Linked DNA regions of Caenorhabditis elegans. The protein of the gene in region 2 purifies or fractionates together with the protein of the main gene of each other region. This does not show direct contact. Each region holds a gene or a part of one and is shown on either strand. Other genes may lie near its edges.

Region 1 (4,468 bases), on a different chromosome or scaffold from region 2:
ACTTTAGCCACTTTTTGACTGCCATTAGATTTCAACCACTTTCCAACAAACTTTGAGCACTTCTTAACCAACTTTGGCCAATTTTTGCCAACTCTCATCAAGTCAGGTGTTAAAAGCGTCAAAACACTGCTAAAATTGACCAACTTTAACCAACTTTTGCCACTTCTGTAAATGGCATTTAGAAAATGGCTAAAGTTAGTTGAGAAGCGGCGCCGATTTGAGGAGTGCTTCTGAAGTGTGAAACGAGTGTATATCTGTGTGAACTGATAAAATTTCATGTAAAGTTTAACTTTAATATTAGGGTGACCGAAAAAGACATGATCCGAGTTGGCCAGTTATCTTGTCTGAACATGATTTCAATTATTATAATTTTTACATCCAAACTATGTATGACTTTCCGCTTTGTTGGATAGTTAAATATTGAACATTTTTGTCGTCTTTTTTTCTGAAAAATTCATGTTTTTTGTTGAATATGGCCAATTCAGTCAAACATTTTGATATTCTTATATAGTTTTTTCTGCGTTGAACTTCAGGCTTCCCAAGTCATGCCACCAGCTCTTTTTATTGTTGTTCACAACCGTTTGTAGGTGCATGTTCACCTTTCTAATTAGATAGTACCTTGCACCTTTTACGACTATGGCAGAAGACCACGAGTTGAGCACCAGTGAATATCGATTACTTACTCCAAACTGAAGTTTCTGACAAATGGAAATCTGCTTGTTTCCAAGAGAACTGCAATGCACAACCATTTATCATATAACACTGGAAAATGAAAATTAGAATGAGCAAAACTTCTAAACGGGGGAATGTGAGATTTTTCAGTTAGAGTTAGTGGAAGGAAGGGGCTCTAAATAACAATATACTCAATATAGGTTGACATTAAATACATTATCTACAAACAAAATGATTCTATACAAATATTCACATATAACGATAAAATTTGATTTTAATCGCCATTGTAATATATTACATTCACAAATGAAACAATTATATACAAATATTTACATGTAAAGATAGTATTCAATTTTAATCGGAATTGGAACGTTTTTTGATCGAGAACTTGTCAACTGGATCGTCTTCATCAGGCTCATCATTTTTTCCAAAAGTAACCGTGAACTTCGCATTGGCTGGAGTGAAATAATCAAATGCTTGCTCGTCTTCCTCTTCATTAGCGACAAAGATAAGTCCAAAAACATTCGCAACACTTGGTAGGTCCATGACTCTGCTAGTGATATCAGCGCTTATGAAATCGGAAGATTCATCAATCATCTGAAAATAAGACTTTTGCAAATCTGGGAACTTTGCCTTTTAATGTGAAGTGGCGCACTTCTAAGAAGTCTAAAACTGAAGAAGTTGGTTGATTGGAAACTGGGCATGTCTACTTATTTTGGAGGAAGTTCAAAAATTGGGATTTGTCATCATTTCTCGTTTTTTTTTTCAATTTTTTCTTTAGTAAATATTTCTGAATTATAGACAATTTTGGATTTCTTGAAGCGAAATCCCAATCCCTTCTACATCATCTTCAATATTCACATAAACTCACGTCTCGAAGTTTCACAGCGTCTTCTTCGGTGAACTCCCGTAGCACGACGTCGAATAATTTAAAATGGAAGAAGCTTCCAATTGGGACATCCAAACTGAAGCCTCTACCAAAAAACCTCTCAGCCATCTTCCATTGGTCCATGCTTGAAAGATGCTCACAATGCTCGAGGGTTTCAAGTTCCGCGCGATCGAAAGTGTAGGGATCGATATTGAGTGATTCCAATTTTCCAGCAGGGAAGATCTCCAATAGTGAGGCATAATCGCTGATCGATACTTGAAGTGCATCGAAGTCTTCTACCTCAATGCTTCTCGTTGACTTGAGCATCTTAGTGATATCCGTGAAGCATTTCGTGTACAAATCTTTTTCCTCGATACTGAAATCGATAATGAGACTCTGCAGTATCACTCTTCGGTTTTCCAACACCAATTTCAAGTCATTGTGGCACAACTGAACGGCATCGCCTCCTTGAATGAATTTATTCGATGGTTCCAACTTCGGCTCTGTGTCGTCATACTGATCGACACAGGAAACTTTGCATCCTCCATTTACCGGTTGGTAAGTGATTTTGTATCCGTCGTACTCGATCCTTGAAAAATTATTTTCATCCGAACCATTAACCGAATAATTGTGAATGATGTTAAAATCCTCGAGATCAACTTCCGGGATTCTCACGACATCGCGGAACCCTGTGCATACTTTTGCGAGAGCCAATCTGCAATTCATATTTTATTATTTATTCAACTTTTTTTCAAAACTCTCTTACGTGTCAATGAAATCAACCCTGTCGACGATGAAATGAATCATATTGAGTGGGAGAGCATACATAGTCGATTTTGAATCGAGACTGAAAGATTTAAAAATTTATAATTTTAGGTTGATGTTTAAACCAATTTTTACCTTTTATCATGGTCCAAATTATCATTCACGTTGGAGAAATGATAGTACCAGTAGTCGAACTCCTCTTGTGGAATAGCGTCCTTTCCAACCTTCCTACAGAAGTTCTCATAGGCCTTTGAAAGTCGAGTCTTATCGAGTGCTTCGTAGAGAATGCATGCTCGAATGATTTGGTCGTTTTTGCGCAAAGAAGCCGACATTTGAGGAATTGTCTGAAAAACAATACAATTGAATAACAGTAAACTGGGAATTATTTTAATAATTAGAGTTACTAAGAAACGAGCAGATAATGAGATTCCATACAATTAAGTATTTCAAAAGTATGAAAAAAAAACAACTTTTTAAAAAGAGCAAAAACAAAGAAGATTGGATGAAGAATCATCGCCCAAAAACAAATGAAAATTTTGATTAAAAAGGAGAAAAATGGAGAAAAATACTTGTAAAAATACAAATGCAAATCGATTGCGAAACAAGGGAAGAGAATGCGTGGACACCAGAACACTTGCCGCTGTGAATGTAGGATGGCGCACCGCGGTCTGTTCAATAGAGCGCACATGCGCATTTACTCGGCCGCGGCCACGATGAACGGTCATGATCCAATAGTTTTCAGAAACAATGATTATTTGTCTGGATTTGTTTGAATGAGGAGTATCGGTTTGTAATTTTTCATTTTTCGAAATATACAGGGTGGTCCATAATTATGGCGACCTGCTACACGCGTGCAAGAACTTGATTTCTGGGGTTACCCTGTTACGAAAGTTTTAAAATTTGATTATTTAAAAAAAGTTCACAATATTTACTGTCGTTCACGTCAATTTCCATACAACATGCTTCAACTTTGAAAGTAGTGAGAGCCTTACAACATCGGTAGTCTATAATTTTCCTCCATTTTATAGGAGGTCTAGCGCCCGACGTCTCCTGCTGCGCTCATAGGATCAAGCAACTAGTTTCTATGTTTTAAATAATTATCAAGACTTCCGACACTCAAAATAGCAAAATCCGAGACGATAGACATATTTTGAGCCAACTTATGTTCGGATTTAGGTCGTTTTTTGCCCTCTAATAACAGTGCAAACAGTCCGTTGCAAAAAAAATTGCCCAAACATTCTGTATTCTGTGGAATATATCGAAATATTGAAAACCAAATTATCATTTTAAGCTAAGACAAATTAAAACTGGACACATTCGCATTTTCAACATGAATGAGCGTTGGTAAGGAAGAAAAATCACAAAACTTGGGGGAGCTTGCTTTTCTTGACTTTATCAATTTTCACAAGATGCCACTTCCGTCACCGGACACCAATCTCAAAAATTATTTGTGAAAAGCTTTGTTGTATCAAGGGTATTCTTAATATATAATCAAAATAATAAATCACTCAAAGTATCTCATTTAAAAATCACCAATAAGCTAAATCGAGCCTACTTGTGCGCTACGGCCATTCGGATTTTTGAGTGTCTTGTGTTCTGTGCGGATGTAGGTGGTGATAACTATCAAGTATTATATGTCGTTAAGTTTGTTTTTTTCTAACCAATAAAATGTGTATATTCACTTCTTTTGCTCGCTGTCCAAAAAAAAGTTACAGTGCCCCAAAGTGGTCGCCATAATTATGGACCACCCTGTGAAAGTTTTAGTTTCAATTTGGAGAGTGTTGAGTTTTCAACTCATTGGAAAACGATTTTAAATGTTTAAAGTTGTAGTTAATAAAGTGTTCAAAACCACACGAATGGTGCCAGAATGACCGAATATAATAATGTAAAACTTTTCACAAAAAAAGTTTGAAAGTTGTCAAAAAATGACAGTTACTCAGTTGATAAATTGGAATTGCTGGTAAAGCCAACCGACAGCCGACCGACAAATTTTCGTCTGATAGAAAATTTATAGGATAGTAAAAATTTTAGCAGAGCTCGCTGTACCAGCTGAAAGCCGAAAAAATCAGTCAGCCGCACACTCCTATTCAATTTTTTTTTTTGTTTGTTTTAAGTTCAAATTCCACTCGGATTTCAATGGTTACTTAACTGTTATTTTACGTT
Region 2 (4,635 bases):
CTACCCTCTAAGCTCCCAAATGCGAGCAGTGCACAGCTCGATTTTCTACAGGTAACAGGATTTTCAAGCACAATACACAAAACTGATTTCAGAAGTGCTTCGAAATGTCTCCAGATCGACGCTTCTCATGTAGTGAGCTTATGCTGCATGGAATCTTTTCGAATTGGATATTACGGATACGACAGGATGAGAGTACACCAACTGGGCTCACTTCAAAAAGAGTTAGTTATTTCACATTAGTTCTTTAAAATATGAAATTTATTATAGAGCCCCAACTACCTACCACTTCTGAATGGAAATTCGAACAATTTGGTTTCAAAAAATTTCAGTTTGCAAGGAGGAAATCATGGGAATAACAATAACAATGGGAACGGCATTAATCGAAATTTTCTTCCAACAATTTCTTAAAATTTTGTTCACTAGTTTCATGGTCATATTGTTCATTATGATAAAACTTATTGCTGGAATCAATAGAACATCTTACCTATTCTTGTACGCACTTTTATATAATTCAGCCTCATAAATTTTCAGAAAAATATATAGCGAATTTGTGAAATTTGGGAAGAGCATGAATCAATATGCCGGAGATCGTGGGGAGACCCAGTGAGGGAACAGCTTGCACCTTTAAAATGACGTTCAACATTTTCACGAGTAAATAATAGAGATCATAATAATATTTTTATTTCACTAAATGATACTCGTGGGGTACATGTTTCTTTAATATGAATACAACGATAATTTAAAATCTATTCACAGTTTTTTGACAGAATCCTCGAACTTTTGGGTGGCAATGGAAACTTCTTCGTCTTTGTCGTAGTATCTGAAACATTTTCAATAAAGATATTGTGAAAAATGAAATATTGAATTTGACGCAAGTTGTTTAATATAATCTAACTTCGAGCTCTCATGAGCGATTTTGTGAAACTTGGCATTTCTTGTGAGATCGTGACGAGACCCGGGTCTGGGGCCTTCATTCCGAGATGACAAACTTTTTAGTGGCAAAGGTTCTTTGGGGGCATAGTATCCAAGGAGACAAAGTATCCAGTAGACAAACTGGGGTGTATCTTGGGGGGCATATCTTTGGTGACAACCTTTTTTTCAACTAGATTTTTATATGTATTTTTCAACTAATTTTTTTTCACATTTTTCTGGAATAAGTTTTTTAATGCAATTTTCAATCGATTTTCGGTTATAATTCCCTTACAATTGAATGTATGAACGATGGTCTTTTGGGAAAAGCTGTAAAACGTCCAACTAACTTGAAATATCGTGAGGCTCTTCCTGATGGTCTGATCCTTCAGCTCCGAAGGATCACATGGGTACCTTCTGATGTTCTGATCCTTCAGATAAGAAGAATCGTAAGGGTACCTCCTGATGGTCTGATACTTCAGCTCCAAAGGATCATGAGGCTCGTTCTGATGTTCTGATCCTTCAGATAAGAAGAATCGTAAGGGTACCTCCTGATGGTCTGATACTTCAGCTCCAAAGGATCATGAGGCTCTTCCTGATGTTCTGATCCTTCAGCTCCAAAAGAACATGAGGCTCTGCCTGATGATCTGATCTTTCAGAGCCGAATGATCACATGGGTACCTCCTGATTTTCTGATCCTCATGTTCTTTTGGAGCTGAAGGATCAGACCATCAGGAGGTACCCTTACGATCCTTCTTATCTGAAGGATCAGAACATCAGAAGGTACCCATGTGATCCTTCGGAGCTGAAGGATCAGAACATCAGGAAAAGCCTCGTGATCCTTTGGAGCTGAAGGATCAGACCATCAGGAGGTACCCTTACGATCCTTCTTATCTGAAGGATCAGAACATCAGAAGGTACCCATGTGATCCTTCGGAGCTGAAGGATCAGAACATCAGGAAAAGCCTCGTGATCCTTTGGAGCTGAAGGATCAGACCATCAGGAGGTACCCTTACGATCCTTCTTATCTGAAGGATCAGAACATCAGAAGGTACCCATGTGATCCTTCGGAGCTGAAGGATCAGAACATCAGGAAAAGCCTCGTGATCCTTTGGAGCTGAAGGATCAGACCATCAGGAGGTACCCTTACGATCCTTCTTATCTGAAGGATCAGAACATCAGAAGGTACCCATGTGATCCTTCGGAGCTGAAGGATCAGACCATCAGGAAGAGCCTCACGATATTTCAAGTTAGTTGGACGTTTTACAGCTTTTCCCAAAAGACCATCGTTCATACATTTATTGTAAGGGAATTATGTATAAATTGTAAGGGAATTATGTATAACCGAAAATCGATTGAAAATTGCATTAAAAAACTTATTCCAGAAAAATGTGAAAAAAAATTAGTTGAAAAATACATATAAAAATCTAGTTGAAAAAAAGGTTGTCACCAAAGATATGCCCCCCAAGATACACCCCAGTTTGTCTACTGGATACTTTGTCTCCTTGGATACTATGCCCCCAAAGAACCTTTGCCACTAAAAAGTTTGTCATCTCGGAATGAAGGCCCGGGTCTGGTGATCGGGTGCCGCATCAGAGAGACATAATGTACCTTTAAAGCGATGTATCACTTTTCAGGACATCATTGATAGTAGAACTGACCTTTGTTTCATCGCACGATACTTTCTGAGCGAGTAAAGTGCTTCAATTTCTTTAACAACAAACTCTCCTCGAGCAATGAGTTGCTCCACTTGTTTTGAATCTTGAACCTCCTGTAATTATTGTGAATTCTGTTATAGAATTTCTAATTTCAGCAACGATTCAATCAAAATTATTTTCGTTCGCTTACTTTATTTTTAGAAAACGCCAATTTGAGCCGATCGTGGAACCATTTCGATCCACCAGGGTATTCCTTCCCCATATGGTACAAGTTTTTGTACAAGTCAATTACTCTGCTTCTCAATGACATTCCTCAAATATTATCTGATCAAATCTGTGCAATTCAAGCAAAGAGTAGGCACAGGTGTTTCGCGGTTTTTAAAATACTTATGAAATGTAGTTCGCACACTTCTACGAGAGGCACCAGCGATATAGTAAAATACTTGCAAAATCGCAAATATTTTGCAAATTGCGACCACCGAGAATCGCGATTACCAAAATACTGCTAAAATGTTAGTGGTCCCGCAGCGAAATTCGCGATTTACAAAATGCGTCTGTAATATTGGTGGCCATAAGTATTTTACAAACGGCGAATCATATGTGGGTATATCATCAGGTTATTTTCCTTTTTTGATTATTCGTATTACAGTATAGTCCAAAGTTTAAAACAAACACCCCATTCATATTATGAATATTGAATGAATCAAATCAAATTAATCGAATAAATAGAGAAAACAATGAACAAAGATTTAAATTCTGAATAATATATGAAGGGAAAATGGAATACGAATAGAATTTTGCTTTATGGATAGTGGAAGGGAAAATGAATTCAGGTAATTTCTATTAGAAATAGGATTGGTAACATTAGATTCAACAATCTTCCCAATGGAAACATGTGGAATCTAAAAGAAAAATAGTGAAAAGCGACATGTGGGAGGGACAGAAAACGGACCGGCTGAAATCAGAAAAAAAAACAATTTTTAGAATAGAAATGACTAATTTATCAATGAAATTACTCGACAACTTTGAGGACCTTTCCGATAGCGATTGTTTTTCCTTCATCTCTGAGGGTGAATCTTCCAAGGTATGGATACTCTTTGAATGGCTCGAGTACGAATGGTTCAGGACTTTCTAGTCTCATAATGCACTTCTCGTCTTGTTTCACAAACTTAGCACGCTTCTTTTCGCCCGTTTTCTTGTCAATTGTGGCAATGACTCCCTGAAAATGTATTTTATTTGGAAAAAATACTTACGAGAAAAGCAACAGTCTCATTTTTAACGTTTCTTGTAAAAGTGAAAAAAATGTCACATGAAAGTAGAAAAATGATTTGAAATTTCGGGATCTCGGCAAAAATCAGAAAATTAAAAGACAGAGACCCGAAGAACTCGGGGGTTGTCCAATTGGGGGGATTACCAACTCGGGGGATTGGCCCCGCCCACAGAACCGTGGCTTGCAATACGCCCATTTCTGCAACTGCCGCACGGTTTTAAACCTGTATTTTTCTCATTAGAGCGAGAAATAACAAGAAAAAATAATTTTATAACCGTGCGGCAGTTGCAGAAATGGGCGTATTGCAAGCCACGGTTCTGTGGGCGGGGCCAATCCCCCGAGTTGGTAATCCCCCCAATTGGGCATCCCCCGAGTTCTTCGGGTCTCAAAAGACATACCTTCACAGTGACTTCTTCGACAGCTGATTGAATATGCAATACACATGAATATCCGGATGCAATAATTGATCTGTGCTCGAGGACAAGGACTTCAGCATCGAAAACGCGGCCAGTTTTAGCAAGAGAATCTGGTGAGCAAATAATGAATCCTCCTTGCAATTCGTTTTCTTCAATTCCCTTCAGCTTGAATTTGATATTATCTCCAGCGACGACACGTTCAGTCTCCACATCATCCGCCCAAATCTGAAGCACCTGAACAGGCTGTTTGTTTGGCATAACAACAAGTGTATCTCCTTTTTGCACACATCCCGATTCCATCTTTCCGATAATGACAGTTCCCATTTCAGAATATTTTTCAGCAACAGTGCACCGGACAGGTCCATTGAAATCACGTTTGTAG

Evidence for each region.
Region 1: the proteins of etfr-1 (region 2) and fbxa-170 fractionate together in Caenorhabditis elegans (co-fractionation; one large-scale study listed by BioGRID). This does not show direct contact.

What each region holds. Positions count from the first base shown.
Region 1 is NC_003284.9:1,675,471-1,679,938, forward strand, and holds fbxa-170 (F-box domain-containing protein), read right to left. Parts: upstream 2,652-4,468; 5' UTR 2,638-2,651; coding exon 2,441-2,637; intron 2,388-2,440; coding exon 2,307-2,387; intron 2,256-2,306; coding exon 1,544-2,255; intron 1,270-1,543; coding exon 1,027-1,269; 3' UTR 735-1,026; downstream 1-734.
Region 2 is NC_003283.11:11,106,869-11,111,503, forward strand, and holds etfr-1 (LYR motif-containing protein 5), read right to left. Parts: upstream 2,880-4,635; 5' UTR 2,878-2,879; coding exon 2,758-2,877; intron 2,681-2,757; coding exon 2,571-2,680; intron 2,486-2,570; coding exon of another isoform or gene 2,367-2,485; intron 821-2,366; coding exon 751-820; 3' UTR 667-750; downstream 1-666. Other genes in the region: cdkl-1 (cyclin-dependent kinase), read left to right, coding at 1-51, 93-221, 268-408; erfa-3 (Tr-type G domain-containing protein), read right to left, coding at 3,580-3,786, 4,236-4,635.